Linked DNA regions of Lonchura striata. The protein of the gene in region 2 interacts with the protein of the main gene of each other region in a pairwise test. Links are inferred from orthologs where the notes say so. Each region holds a gene or a part of one and is shown on either strand. Other genes may lie near its edges.

Region 1 (8,324 bases), on a different chromosome or scaffold from region 2:
GGAAGGTGCAGCTTTTCCCAGTCTGTGAATTTTGAGGCATAAATCAGGCCAAAATATGCATATTATCTGCACTGTTCTACTTCCAAGTCTGCATGCAGTGCTGGTCTCTAGAGGCCTCTGCTTCTTTGGGAGAATTTGGCTAGTCTTAGCTAGTAGCACAGACTGGGCCTTCTGTCTTGGAGAGGTTTGTTCCCTGTAAAGGAATGAAGTCTTGTTCCTGTTCTTTCTGGAAAAGAAGTGGCCTAGCAGCAGAGACCAGAGGACACAGTGGGTCTGTATTAAATAGAATTTCTGTATAAGAAGGAAAGAAAATATTTTAAATTTGGGCTAGCTCTAAGTAGTGATCCACCTGTCTCAGAGAGAAGCATCTCCTCTTGGTTCTGCAGAAGCAGTACTCAGCTGAGAGCCTGCTGTGATGGGAACACTTCCACCACTTCCTGCAAGATCTGGATTGGGCCCTGGATTTACTGCAGGATTTGGTTGGACTTGCCAATATTGTAGTTAACAGATTCTATATGTGATCATAATAGGAACTGATAGGATGAATCCCAATGGCTTTCATTGCTTTGTCACCCTTATGGACCTGTTCACTGTCCTTAAAGTGAATGTTTACAGAACACAGAGCAGCTGCCCTGGGACCCACAGGCTCTGGCATGTGCTGCTGATTCATAGTCCTTTGCAGGATGGGCCCTTTGTGCTGTACAAACCAGGGGAGCCATATATAGCCTGTTTTAAGGCTGAATGCTGCCTGTTTCCTCCCATTCTCTTATCCTTTCCTGAAGAATCTCCAGCAACTTGGAACTGCCTTACCCTCTGTCCTGAAAGATCCCACTAGAGTGCTTTCAAAAGCACCTGGGCTGGAAGCATGAAGCAGCTGCCTGTGAAATGTACCTTTTTCTCTTGCCGGGACTTGGAGCACCAGCCTCGCTTTACTGGTGAAGGGCCTGAGAATGAGCTGGACTCAATCTGTTCCCCTTGGGAAGGGACCTTCTTGTCACTAAGGGTCCAGGCAAAGCAGGGCAAGGAGAAGCAGGGCAGAGGTAGAAACTGTCCCCAGAAGTGCTCCTATTGGCAAAGTTGCCACAATGCCTGGGCATAGAGCATCTGGGGTGCCATGCTTTCTGGTTTGCAGCTCAGCTCTCAAAGCCTTGGGATTAAGTGAGATTTTTGCTAGTGCCCTTTCCCCTTTTGTCTTCGAGGCTGTTTCTGTATGTGACTCTGACATTTTAGGCACAAGATACTGCAGCTGTGATGCAGTCCGCAGATCTTGCAGTATAGGGAAGGGCCAGTACTTGTCCATGGTCTTTCCTCTCTTGGGATGAGGTGGGTGTTCTGAATGCCTATTTATTGCACGTTTTTTGCTGGGAATATCCCAGACAGGAAAAGTACTCTGAGTCACCCCTACAGACATCAGTATTACAAAGAATTTCCATGGTTCCTTCTGGTGCCCTTTACTTCTGATAGGAAAGAGGAAGTTTTTCTCTGGATGAGCAGGATTTCTGAGTAAAAGGAAGAGCTAAAAGCAGTAAGATCCTGTTCAGTCCTTACTGTTGGCTGGCTGTGGCTTAACACTGTTTAACTGCACTAATGCCTTCCAGAGACTGGGAATTGGAAAGCTACAAGAGGCCCTGAAGGAACCAGGGTAGCTGGTGTGGAGCCTGGAGTAAGACCTACAGTGTTTCCAGGGGAACTACTTGTGTTTGCAAGGAGTGATTTTTGGGAAGGGGAATCCATGCTAAGATGTTCTGAATGTGTGCCTCCCACGCTTTGTACACAGCACACCTAAGACAAAGGTGTGAAACACACCTGACACACAAATATGGGCCAGTACCTTTATCAGTGCTGTCATACTGCAATGGCAAGAACCAGCAGGTTCTTTCAATGTACAACCTTAAGTATGTTTTCTTAGTGTGCAAACAGTACAGGCAATAAAGAAATGCTGTCTTACAAGTGGTTGTGTTGAGAGATTTTTTTTCAGGTGCTGCAGGAGATTCAGCCTCCCATGTTCAATCACTGATCCTAGTGTGACCCTCCCTACTCACTGCTCTAGCAGTGGCCTGTCCTGCATGGTGGTACACAGGGAGTCTTACAAGCAAGGAAAGAGTTAACCAGGAGCCCATGTCTTGGGGGCAGCTCAGGAGAAATTAATCTTATCTTTTTTTACCTCCTTTAAGCAGCCAGAGTCCATCCAGCTAATTACGGAGGGCAGAGCACAGAGGAGAAAAAGGGGAGACACTTCCTGAATGTCTGGGGGGTATAGTGGTTTCAGAGAGAGACTGAAACCACTCTCACCTTGTCACCTCTATTAATGGAATTAAAACTTTATTTTATTAATGTCCCATGCATCCTTTTCACTAGAGTTAGGAATTTGGTTGCTTCTAATGTGCCCTGGCATGGCTCCAGCTGGATGTTCATGCATTACAGAACTAATCACTCTGCAGTTTTGACCAAACAAATTGTTACTCATTTCCCCTGCTATAAACTGATAACAGAAGTAGTTAATTGTAACATATACTTTTTGTAAGCAGGAAAGGGTGGATTTTTGTTTCAAGGATGACAAAATGGCACAGAATTTGAGCATACTGAGCTTGGACAACGGTAAGCAGCAGGGTGGGGTTTATTACTGGAAGATCTTTTGTTGTCTCTCAGCACAAAGATTACATTGTCCTGTTGGAAGACTCAGCCACTTACAATCTAAAGGGATATGTTGCTAGTTTTCAAACCTGTCTGATATCAGACCTAAAGGAGACCAGAATTTCCAAAAAGTTCTTCATTTTAATACATTCCCTTTTTTTGTCAGAATCTCTCCTGCCTCTAAATGGAAGCTCTGGGAGCAGCCACCTTTTGTAAGTGACTGCTGGAAACTCTAGCATAAATGCAAATAATGAGATACCCTGAGGGGCATGAGATGAGGGGGGATGCAAAATAAGACTGCCTGGGGGCTTATACATTCACCATATTGGCTCCAGCCTCTTAGTGAACAAGTGACTTTTTGCACATAATCTGTAAAGTATTTTGGAATCATATCACAAGAAAGACTCTTCTTGCAGCCTGGGAAGCCTTATCCTGGAACATGCAACAGTGCACCTGTGTACACAATCAGGCGTAGAGGCAAAAGCATAAAAGCCAGCTGCTCTGATAAGTAGCCATGGCCCCACAAATCCCTGCAGGCCAGCAAAGGGACCTCACTCTGCTTTGCTTTCACTTATCTGTTTCGTGTCAATATACTAAGGGTAAGCATAAGAGGATTAGGCTGACAGCATCTCTTTGAAAAGCCAAAACAGGGCTGAAAAGAGAGCATTAAGCCACGGTGTTAAGTTTGAAGCTTTTCCACAGTATAAATGCAGAAATTTCAAACATTTGAGATGTTGTTTTCTAGTACCTTCTTTATTCCAGGTCCAAGGGACCTTTTCCATTTACATACAATTAATGAGTTACTGCTATGGGTAACTCATGCATTCACTCACATATTACTTTGTCCTGTCACCTTCTTCTGTGTCTTTTCATGATCTTTTTACTTGTTGATTGCTTAGACTATAAATATATATATTTATTGCATTAATAAGTAGACGGGACTCGGTTTCTTCATGCAGAAAAGTCAGTTCTTTATTCACAAAGCTCATATTTATAGGCGATCTCAGAAGGCACTGTTAGACCTAATTGGCTAACAATACACTGACACAGTTTATTGGTCGGTAAATGGCTAGGGCGTATGTCTGTCAAATCTCTATATTTTGTTAGTTTACATATTTTGTTCCCTGACTCCTGTGGGACAGATTTCTTGTTTATTACAGGTGCAACTTAGTTTTCTAAGGATAGGTTGTTATGCAAATGGATTCTCATTCTCCTTCAACTGAGAATTTAGCTGCACTTAGAAGAAGTAACAGTCCAGCTGGTAATTCAGCAGAGCAAGGCTTGATTTCATAAGGCCTTTCTTTTGTAATATCTTTATCTGTATGTAACATATATTGACCAAGTACTTAATCTCCAATGAAAAATGTATCTCACAGCCCATTATACACCTTCAAATGCTCTGTTTGGCAATCTCGTGTTCAGTGTAAATAGACCTGGGGCCCTGCAGTTCAGAGCTTTGTTAGGAGGTGCTCATTACTGAACTGGCTGTTGATGAGTCACAAGGAAATTTTGGTTGGTGTGGCTACAATAACCCAGCTCCAGCCTCTCCAGCCTGCAGGGCATATTTATATACATATATGTACCATGCTGCAAACACAAGTGTGGCTGTGTGCTACTTCTGAAAACACTAGTCCACAGAAGACCTGACCAGGTAAAATTAGTCTCCTCAAGGTAAACAAGTATCTGCAGTAAAAAAACCCAAAAAACTATTACTCCAGCAATAAACTGAAGACGGGGAGATGGGCATCCTATGCTGTATCTCACCTTTGCCTGCAGGCTCTCCCAAGCACAAAGAAGCACTTGTGCCTGGTCATGCCCGTTCACTGACCCAAATCTGCTGGGTTGGGGGGGTTGTGTGGTTTCCTGTTTGGGCATGAAATCCCTGGACATGGCAAGAAGGCATTTGCCCAGCATGGTGGCTACGCAGGGCTCCACCAAGGAGGGCCAGGACCTGGGCAGGGGCCGGTGTCTCTTGTGGCTTCCAGATCCTGCGACATATTCCTTGCAACAAATCTGTCAGTGTGCAAGCAAGCTGACCCCCCAAGGCTCTATTTGATCACTTGGATCTCCAGCTGCTCTGAGCTAAAGCGAGCTTACTCCTTGGGAAGGATGAAGTGATTTCTGAGTTGGGCACATGGAGAAGTTAAAGCAAGCACGCAGGAGGTTCTGAACTGGCCTCTCCCTTCCCTGCCCAGATCTCCTCTCTTCGTCCCACTCCTGAAAAACCAAGAGACGCCGCGGAGAGGAGCGGGTGTTTTCCTGGGAGCATCCCTCGCACAGGGCTGCGGCTCAAGTGAGGTAATGGGAGGATGAGGCAATGTGCCAGTCAGGGCTTGATCTTGTTTTACAGGGTTTCATGGAGAACACTTTTAACAAGCGGATCTGACTCCTAAAAAAACCAAAAACCCAAAAAAGCGGCTCCATCTGGAGTTCGCTGTAATGGAAGCAGCACCGTGAGGCGCCGGAGCCGAGGGCTGCGGACAGCCCGGGCAGGCAGCCGGGGGAGGCGGCCGGGCCGGGGTGGGCCGGGCCGGCCGCGCCTCCCTCCCGCCCTCCCTCCCGGCCGGGCCTCCCGGCAGCGCGGCGGGTCGGGGCGTGCGGCGGCGCGGAGCGGCGGCCCACGGTGAGGCGGAGCGCCCGACATGGCGGCACCGGTGGGACGGGGAGGCGCGGGCGCGGCGGCGCCGGCAGCGGGCCGGGGAAGGGCCGGGGCGGCAGCCCGGGAGAGCCGGCAGAGCCCGGGCCCCGTGCGGCAGCGGGCCCGGCTCTGCCGCAGCGCTGCTTGGCTTCCCCTCCAGCGCCCTGTGGCTTTGCACAGCTTTGCAGGGGCTTGGCCCTTGTATGCTTTGTTTTTGTTTCTTTTTGGTTTTTTTTTTTTTTTTTTTTTCTTAGGAAAGTATTTTAACCTGTTGCGGCTGGTGTCATAACTTTGCACAGCCCGCGGAATTAGTAAAGGCGTTCTGAAATGTTGCCATAAATCTGGTGAAACGATTTTTACCCCCTTCTGCCTTTTGTTCAGTCAGATTTCCCTGTTGTACAGTTAAGAGTTGGCCTTTCTGCTGGGCTTGTAGGACCCTTGTAGGCGGAGGAGGGAGAGAACGAGCGCTTGTTTACCACGCAGTCCAGGCGATGTTCTGTTCCCTTCTTTTTCTGGAAGCTGCATCAGATGGGGAGCTGATGGCAATGGGTTATTTCTGCACCGTTGTGTTGCTTGCCATGAGGAATCTTTGCCAGTAGCTTCTTCTTCTTGTCCTCTCATGAAGAACGTGAACTGCGGTAGTTATTTTTAAAGTCTGACTTTTCCTGAGGGCTTTTGTAATCAACTTGTTGCAGTATCCTGTTGCATTTTAGCAGTGACATATCTTTATTTCTGGCTACTGTGTAGCATCCCTTAAATTCTGCACTGCTCATTTCCTTTGTCCTCCATCCGCACTTCCTGGCTTTCTCTGAGGGTTCATGAAAAAGGGTTGACTTGAAATAGCATCACCCATCAGAGGCTGTTTGTTCAGACAGTTTTGAAAGACGTCCCTTTCTCAGAAAACACATTTATGTCCAATGCCATGGTTCTTAGGGAAGCTTTTGGTGTGACGAGCGGTCTTACCAGCTGGTATTGTGGAGGCTGAAGAGTCTCTTAGCATCCCACCAGTAAGACAAAGGTCTGTCCCAGTCCTCCTGGGTGACTGTCATTGCTGCCAAAGGACTGTCTGTGGTGAAGGGAGTAGAGTGCCTGTCTTGGCTGAGCTGTGGCTAAGCTCATCATAACTAGAAAAGTCAGTGCAAAAGTTTCAGTGCGTTTATATTCTCTGAAGCATTTTGTGGGCCTAGGACAGGCAGTTCCCAGTCTGTGGATTATTGGAAGCTGGGGTAGCATCACTTATACTTTATATGATGCATCTGGTGACAGGTCCCTGTCAAAGGCACAGCACTGGCTTGCACAGGTGGGCTGGCTACAGCTGCTCTGTGAGCCAGCTGGAAGCTTGAGCTGCGAGCTGGATGAGGTGGCAGCTTTTGAACTCCATGTAATTCACCTCAGATCACATCCTTGTTCTATAGTTTGCTGATAATGTCTTTGAGTTCCTGGCCTGTATTTACTTCTGGTCATATGCTGTATTTCTGCAAAAAGTATGTTTCATTCCAAACTGTTGCTTGTGTTCATTGTCCTGTGGCTTCTGCAGAGGAGGACAATGACTCCCCCAGTTGCCTGGTAAAAGTCCTGGCACTCCCTGCTGTATGCTGGCTTCAGGGATCAATAAGAAAAACGTATTTTCTGAGTGCTTGAAATAATATACCATGTGTGACACTTCATTTTACTCTGAAGTCTGAGGTGGTTAATCCCTCTTGTACATTTTGTGAGAGTTTAACCAGTTTTATTTCTCCTAACTCAGAGCAGGTCTGTTAAAGGGGTTTTATTTGCTACTTGCAGTGCAGTGTCCGAAAGTTTCTCTCTTTGGGTGTGATGCATTCTTCATGAAGGGGGTGGAAGAAAGCTGCTGGTTTTTTGTCAAGCAAAAATGTTCAGTGGGAGTAGCTGTGAAGGGCTCTCTTTCCCCTTAGGAACTTTCCAGCAGGCCTATCATTCTCAGCAAATAAAAGTTCTATCATGGCTTGAACTGTTGCATCACACATGCAAAGAAGGCAACAACTCCCTTACTCTTGAGACAGCCCTGAGGGGGTTGATTAGAGACCTGTGTCTCTTCTAGCCAGGTTATCCCACAGGCAAATTCACTTGTTCCTTCTGCATAATTTGGCTTCTTCGCCCAGGAACGCATTGAACTGTTGGTTCTGGATGGATGGAAAATGTGTATTTACATGTGTTTGTTTGTGTAACATCTCTTATCACCATGTGTTCCCTCTTGTGGCAGACTATCCTGTCTGGCATTTCCAGGTAATTTGGTCATTTATGAAGCAATTATACTGTCCTTCTGTTCTTCTTGTGACTTGTAAGGCAGAAGCTTAGAAAGAAAAACACTTGACAGCCTCTGAAAAGCAAAAAGGGTAGCTGTGAATTTTCATGTCCCAATTTACCGTTACTATCCCCAGTGGCTTCATCAGCCTTGTTCCTTAAGCCTTGTGAGAGGATGTTCTACCCCTCAACTCTACTGTATTCTGCTCTTGAGCTCAACACTGGGTTATCTCCAGCTCTCCCTGGGTATGTGCACTGACAGCTGAGGTCATGGAAAGCCTGAGGGAGGGGTGCTCCTAGAAGTGACAGCTCATCTCAGCTTCTCTGGCTTGGAGGAACAGAAGTCGTAGTCTCCCTTGTTGTTTAAAACCTTCAAGATCCTAAGGATATAGACCAAGTCTCCTATCTCACTCACTCATCCTGCCTTTCAGACCCTAAATATGGTTTTTCTTTTGCCACAGCAAAGCTGAAATGAAATGGACAGTGTCACTGTAAAACCATCCCATTTTCTCATCCTTTTTTGTACATGCATTTTGACAGTGCTTTTCCCCAGGATGGTGACCATCTTCCTAGTCTGTGAGAAGTGTGCTTTTCCCTTCTACCCTGTGTCTGAAGCCAGGGTGTGGAAGGAGAAATGAGGAATGGTAGGTGTGTGGAACGGAGATGAGGTATTCTGTCAGTTCTGTGGAGAGTGCCTCATTCCATCCCTCCCCACAGCACAGAAGCTGTTGGCTGCCAGGCCTTCTTGGCAGGGAGCTGCCCTGTAGTAGCAGCACTGCTGATGGGC
Region 2 (7,399 bases):
ACAAACACCAATATCAAACACATACTAAGGTCTTGGAGTATAAATCAGACAGAAGGTAATCATTTAATCATTCTGAAAACACCTCACACAGCAGCTGCCACCGCACTGAAGGATCCCACTCCCCTGAAGTTACAGGGAGTAACTTCACACATTACTACAGGAAGAGTGGAATTGTGAGGACACACAGTATCCTGCACTGTGCAGACTCAAAGCTCTGTCCAAAGAAACTTCAAGCATTCAGCATGTGTCTCAAACCTAAGAGTGCAAAGCCAATAGCACAGCCACATTCTCCATATAGAATAATAACTTTATTTTCAATCACCAGGCCTATCAAGGAAACACTGAATTGTTAACTGCAGGTCCAACAACCTAAGCAGGTTTATTCCTCACACAAAATACCACCTGTAGTAATGGTTGTACACCAACCATTGAGCATTAGTTTACACAATTTGCCACCTAGCAAGAGCATAGCTGGCAGTTGCAATGTCTGCACAGCATGACTTCCTATTGACTCAAGTACAGACACACAGCTGGGCACACGCAGGACAGCCCTGGATCATCCTTGTCCCTGTAGGGATAGTGAAGAAAATACTGAACACCACAAGAACTCACTCTAGCAACACAAGTCTATGACCTACTGGGATTTTATTAGTCCTGTCCCATTTCCATCGGCTCCAGATTACCACTGCATTTTTAAGAGTACACATGCACTTGGAGGGGATTTATCCTATGGCCTGAGATGCAAAAGCAGATGTCCTGACCATCAGGACATCTGCTCATGAAGAGGAGTGATGAAAACGTACAAGCTAGGTTTATAAACAAGGAGTTGGAAATCTGATCCCATGCCTCTGCTCACAGCTCTGCCATGGACTCCTTCTGGCCTTTACTAATTACTCAATCTTTCACGTGCTAAGCACAATGAACACTGTGACAACCTCATCAGGAGAAGGACACAGTGGACCAGATGATGTTCTTTGAGCTGAAGCACACGGATGTACACCTGATACAGAACCTGAGTCAGATTCCCTTCCTCACGGCTCTGGCACTCTGTGTCTCCCACAAGACCAGCTGTTACCTTGCCTGTGGCTCCATGCACATGTGGTCTCCTTTCCTATCAAACAATAACAAAGCATGCAACAAATTAACAGCAAAACATACACTCCAACACACACACACACACACATTCACCTTCTCTCAAGGCAGTTAAAAAAATCTACCAAAAGTACTGAAATAAGTTCTTATTATTACACACTCTGCTTTCAGTCAGGCATTTCCCCAGAAAGGGAAAAAACTGAATTATTTCTTTTCTGCCTTTCTTATTCACAAAGTAAATTTTTACAGAAAACACAGGTAGCTTATTTACTCTTGTGGAAAACAAATGTGTTTACTTGACAAAAACAAACACTAGGAATGCAATTCAGAAACACCAACCACTTCCAAAAATCAAAATTCAGCCCTTATGCTTAAAAAGCATCAGAACATCAAAAATGTCTTTCTATAGGCATATAAAACACTGGAAGGCTTCATGCCAAGGATTCAGGACTGGGCACAGAAGCCATAAGTTCTGCCACTAACTTGATCTGAGACAACAGATAAACAACTTCACCCCTTCTCTGTCTCACCTTACACTTTAGTAAGCCAGTAATGATAAAATTTCCTGCCTCACTACATGGATGGAGAACACTTTACTAATTCATGACTACAAAGCAACTTGAGAGCTGTGGATATAAAGCTTGTACATATACACATATATGTAAATTAAAATAGACACATAGTATACTTATAAATTAAAACCAAGTTAGGAGAGAGCTAAAGCACATTACCCAAAAGCTCCAGTCAGCACTCCAGCTATACTGAGCAGGACCCTGCATTTTCTCTGTGCATGAATTAAGAGTCTCCTCTGAATCAGCAAGTAGCTGGTTAATAAGACCATGATCCACTTCATGAACTTCCTGTGAACAAAGAAGTAAGGTATGTAATCCAGCAGTGATGGAAAAAGGTGAAACAAAATGGTTAGTCCATTTAACAGCTGTATATTAAATGAAATCCGACATGGCAGTTTCACCAAGGTGAGTGGCATAGAAACACTTCCCACTGACAGCTTTTTACTTTGTTTTATTTTTTTTCCCCCCTAGACTACACTATACTTAATTATATTTTACATTTTTATCAAAGTACTTTATTTCCATGTAGCCCCTCCCAACTTGCACGCTGAAGCTGCACATGCATTTAGAACTGAAATAGCATCAACACAAGACATCAGCGCCTAACATGTAGCAAGGTCTCAGGAACCCGTGAGACCTTTCAGAACTTGAGAAATACACGTGTAGCATTTTTACCAGAGGACTGGCAAATATTATTATAATACTGATACATCAAGTGTTTATACTTAATGTTAGTTACACTATAAATTGCACATAAATACAAACACTTCAGAGACAATTTGACTCATATCACTTACTATTATGATAATAAGCAGCACTGTTTTCTAATTCTGTAGCACTCCCCCCTGTTATCAGTATTCTTCGCTTTGGAAGTCAGTTTTACTTTATGAAGGGAAACAGCCACGGAACGTCACTTGTGCCACCCAGCCAGCAAAGGGTAGAAAACCAGCCCAGGGCCCTAACCAATAACCCCGCCTGTAGCACCGGATCCGCCGGGATGAGGCAACGCTGGGCTTCAGCTCCGAACCAGGTGCTGGGCCGGCCCCGGCCGGCCCGGGGTGCGCGCCCCCGCCCAGCGCTGCCCCGGGGCCGCGCCCGGGCTGGGGACAGGCTGCGGAGGGGACAGCGGGGCGAGGCAAAGGCACAGACACTCCGGGCTCCGCGGCGTGAGAGCAGAGCTGCCCCGGGGGGCTCTTCGCACTCCCTGCAGCCTCCACCAGTTGCTGCTCGCCCGCGCCCTCCCCACCGCAGCGCCGGGACTCAGCGGCTGCCCGGCCACCGCGGCCCGCCTCCCGCTGGCTCCCCCAGGAGCCCAGACCCTCCCTGCGGGGCGTTCGCCGCCCCCCTCATCGGGGCGCCCCGAGGGCCACCCTGCCCCCGGCCCCGCCTCGCCCCAAAAACTTTCGGGGAGGTGGGTGGGGACGGCGGGACCGCGCCGCCGCCGCCCGTCCGGGGCCCGCCCGTGCGGCTGCCCGGGAACAGAGCGCGGCCGCCGCCCCCGCACCTACCTGCGCGGCCGCCGCCGGCGCGGGGGGCGGCGGCCGGGGGCGCAGAGCCCGCCGGAGGGGCGGGGGGCCGCGGGGAGCGCGGCGCTTACCATGGAGGGGGGCGAGGGCCGCGCGGCGCCCGCCAGCTGCCTGCGCGGGGCGCTCGGCGGGGCCGCGGCCGCCATTTAAAGGGGCCGGCGCCGGCTGCGCCGCCGGCCCGCGGCGGGAGGAAGTACCGGGGGCGAGCGGTGCCGCTGCTCCCGAGCAGAGGGGGCCGTCACGGGGGCGGACAGCGCTGCGGCGCCTCCGGTGCCCTCCTGGTCGGGCCGCGGCAGCCCCTCTGCGGCTTCCGCAAGGGTTAACTGGGAAGCCTCCGCGCCGGTGGAAAGTTTGAGGGCTGAAGTAGGGGAAAACTGCCGGCTGCGGGGGAGGCGGCGTTCGCTGCCTCCTGCCCGAGGGAGAGCCCCGCGCCCGCCGCCCTCCGTGAGCGCAGCCGGTTAAACAGCGCAGGGCAGCGAAACGGCTCCCGGATCCTGGGGTCGTGGCATTCCACGGAAAACACTGCCGAGAGGCCGCTCCTGGGGGAGAGGGGGAAGGCTGGCTGCGGGCCGAGCGGAGAATGAGGTGGTATAAAGGGTGTCAGTGAGGGAGGTTTCATCCCAGGAAAACCTGGGTCTCGTTTTTGAAGCTGCTGAGTGCTTTCTGCCCCAAGCTCTGAGCACCCGGAGGGCTCCTCAAATCGGGGCACCCAACCAAGGCACCAAGGCGACGATGGCTCGCAGATTTGCACTGTCAGCTCACCTCACAGGAAGAAGAGCCTTGTGAGGTGCAAAGAAATCACATTGCTAGGTAGTTGGCTGGTAGATGGATGGATGGATGGATGGATGGATGGATGGATGGATGGATGGATGGATATACAGATCAATAAAGCAGCCTGTTGTCCCCTTTCTCTTACCCCTTCCTTGGGAAATGTTTGGAGGCTCCCTTTGGACATCTCAGGGTCCTGTAATGCCTGTTCACTGTTACATTAGAAAAAGTACCCAAAGCCCCTGTGGGTGACACGGCCTCCCAGCTGTTGGTCCAGACAGGACAGCGTTAATGCAAGCAACTGCAAGTCTCCAAAAGTTACAAGAGTGTGAAAAAGAATGTGTGGTTTGTTTCATTTTTGTTCCTTGCTTTCTTGATTTGCACTTGAAACTTGAATTTTGTGGGCTTTTTTCAACAACACTCAGTTTATTTTTCTTTTTGTCCAAAAACTGAATCATACTGGGTTTTCCAAGTGGGAGAAGCTTCATGTTCAACCACTGGCTGCCAGCAACACTAACCAACCTCCTTTGTATTTCCTCAGTTAACAGCTGGCTGACCTGGCACTTTGGCTCAGGCATGACCTACTTAATGGAGGATTCACAAGACAATTCCTAGTTCTGGATGACATGAACATAAACAGCATTTGCAGAAACAATGGTGGTATGTCCATCACAACACACTTGAAGGGGTTTTTTGAAGCACATCAAGTACTTGGGTCTAAATAACACAGTGTTGGATTGCCTTTGGTTCAGATCCATCTTTGCACGCTTACTCTTCTGACACACAGTCACAATCAGCACTCTAAACCAGTAACTCATGCCAAAGTCCTCTTGATCTGCCAGGTACCTTTGACTACTGGTTATTCCCTCATCAAACTCTTCATTGTTTTTGATTCCTCTAACTTTTCCTTTCACTGATATTTTGGCTTTGCTCACTAACACTTTGGCAGTACGTCCTTCAGAAGACCCTCACAAACTTCTATCTTCCTTCTGAAGTGCTTTGTTGCACTGCACTTGGTCCCACTTTTCTTCCTAATATGATTCCTGCCTGGTAATCACAGGCCTTCGCACTCTCTCAAGCCATTTCAGAGAAGTATTTGCCTTCTAGGTTCTTTTCTGCATTCTCCCACTAGCCCATCCTGCTTTCGCTGCTTCCACTGCTTTGGGGTCTGCATACCAAAGCTACAGTGACAATTACTGACTCCAGGAATGGACTGTTCCTCTTGACATTGTTTGGTCAGCCAACTTTAGCAAATCAATTGTGGGTTCTTTTGCTTTCAAATGCAAATAAAAGCAGAAATACTCGGGCATCTCTCAGCTGCATTGTGCTCTAAGAGTTCTGAAATTGAGTCTTTACTGGATACTAAAGCATAATTCCATTACCTGGAGAGTTTTGAAGATATGCAAGATCATTAGATAAAGAGTGCCATAATCTATAATCCTGTAGTTGAGGAAAGAGATGTCAGCCAAATAGTGACAATAGCCCATGCTTGGTACAGGTGTAGCACGGCTGGCAGAGCTGGGTGGTACAAGTGAGGCTTGGAGCTGCTGTAGCTCCTCTCAGAGGGTTCTGCTCTATGTGGGCCTTCTATAAACACAGATTAATTCAGAGCACACCTGCTGGTTTTGCAGATGGGCTGCCCTCTCCAGCAATTTTCCTCTCCACCCAAACTGCACAGACAAGCTCTACTTAAATATAAATAGAATTTAAGTAGTCAACTTTTGAAGAAAAATTATTTGTTCTGCACTGAAAAAAAAACCACTTTGGGGAATACAGTTAACCTGTAAACATCATACACATTTAGCCACAAAGATACTGAGTTCCTGAAGTTTTCTTTTGTGGTGCATTAGGGTGATAATGTGGTGCATTAAAGTCTGGCTGTTCAGAAAATTATGCCAATACTCTTTGTGTTCTCACCATCACTTGGGAGGGGTTCAGCAGAAGAGAGACCTCCTTTGGAGACTCTGGATAGTCTATACTCAGCCCAAAGTTGTGGTTTATAAAAGCCAAAAGTGAAAAACAATGAATTATCTTCCTTCTGCTCTCAGAGCATTTTCAACATGTTCTCAGGGAGAGATCAGAACAGCCACCGGGGAAGTAATTGTTGTCACTTGCAACGTGGTGGCTCTCATCCAGGGAGCAGGCAGAGCACTGTGAGCTCAAAGCTGTGGTAACTTTAGTAAGTGTGACATTCACTAGGCAGAATGTGAGGTCCTGTTGCTATAATACACACATATTTTTTACCCATACTACCAGAAGGAGAGATGATGAGGCCATGTACTTCAGTGACCATGAGCCAGCACACTGGGAAACTCTATAGATCTGTAGTGTCTTCATTTATCTTCTTCTTGGTTGCGGGTGAGTACTAAACTATCTTCCTTAATTAGAAGAAATATAGGTTGTTCTTGGAAGCTTGGCTGAAAAAGTTCTTTTTTTCTTTTTTTTTTTTTTTCCCCTCAAAATGCAACTTTCAACTGAGGGCTTCCTCAGGGTGCAGGGAAATTGTGTTTAGTGTTGTACATTGCATTAAAACATACTTTTCTCTTTAGATACATTCCTGTTTATCTAGTATAAATGTTCAGAAAGAGTGTATTTGCCTATCTTTCCCCAGATGTGTCTCATCATTCCTAGAAGCTTCATTTCTGTTTTGTTTCTCTGATGCATTAGCCACCAGTTATTGTCACAAGGTAGTTATTCATATCTGTTTGTGAGAGCCAACTTTAGCCCAGGGCAAAAGTCATATAAATTAAAAGTAGCAATGTGCAGTCATTGATCACTTATTCATAGATGGCTGGGAGCTGAATGCAGCTTGTAAAGCACCTTCATGGCACCAGCATGGTATGAGTGTGAAGCTGAGATCTAAAGCAAAGAAAACCATCTGAAAGACAGTAATTTCATCAGCAGAAGGTTTTTTTGCAGGTTGGAAATAGTGCCCTATTTCCAATGTTGCCCTCAACCCCTCCTCCAGCTACTGAGTGTGAGTGTAGGAGAGGAGGCTAAACTGGAAAGGTAGAATTCTGCACTGACCTCCACACACTGTTTTGGTTCCACCATGCTCTTGGCAGCTGGCAGAAGAAGCTTGCAGGACTGCTTGGATTTACTGCAGGCACCAAAGACTTAAGTGAGGCTCCAGGACAGGAAGAGAGTGCAGCTATATTTTATTATTTCTTTTTGTCACCCCAGCTCCTCTAGCCTGCCTTGCATATTTCTCACTTGCAGGTCTTATATGGCCCTATATGGGGAAGTATCAACCTACAGATTACATAAAGGGGAGGCTGAGGGCTTTAGTAGGTGCCCTATAAGTACTGCCAAATCCAGAGCACATTGCCACATTGCAGGGAGTCCCTGAGAGCTTTCTCCCCTCGTGGCTGAAAACTGGACGTGAACTAAGGACTTCATATGACAATGACCTATTAGATCATCTAATAGTTTGTCCAGGTC

The links.
Region 1: the proteins of GRAMD1C (region 2) and CD151 interact in binary tests that used the Homo sapiens proteins (3 or more experiments, as listed by UniProt). The link is inferred for Lonchura striata from reciprocal best matches to the Homo sapiens genes GRAMD1C and CD151.

The regions. Positions count from the first base shown.
Region 1 is NC_134608.1:44,894,993-44,903,316, forward strand, and holds the start of CD151 (CD151 antigen), read left to right. Parts: upstream 1-5,186; 5' UTR 5,187-5,257; intron 5,258-8,324. UniProt on the Homo sapiens protein: Structural component of specialized membrane microdomains known as tetraspanin-enriched microdomains (TERMs), which act as platforms for receptor clustering and signaling.
Region 2 is NC_134604.1:24,251,960-24,259,358, reverse strand, and holds the start of GRAMD1C (protein Aster-C), read right to left. Parts: upstream 3,337-7,399; coding exon 3,262-3,336; intron 2,557-3,261; exon of another isoform or gene 2,462-2,556; intron 1,953-2,461; coding exon 1,824-1,952; intron 1-1,823. UniProt on the Homo sapiens protein: Cholesterol transporter that mediates non-vesicular transport of cholesterol from the plasma membrane (PM) to the endoplasmic reticulum (ER).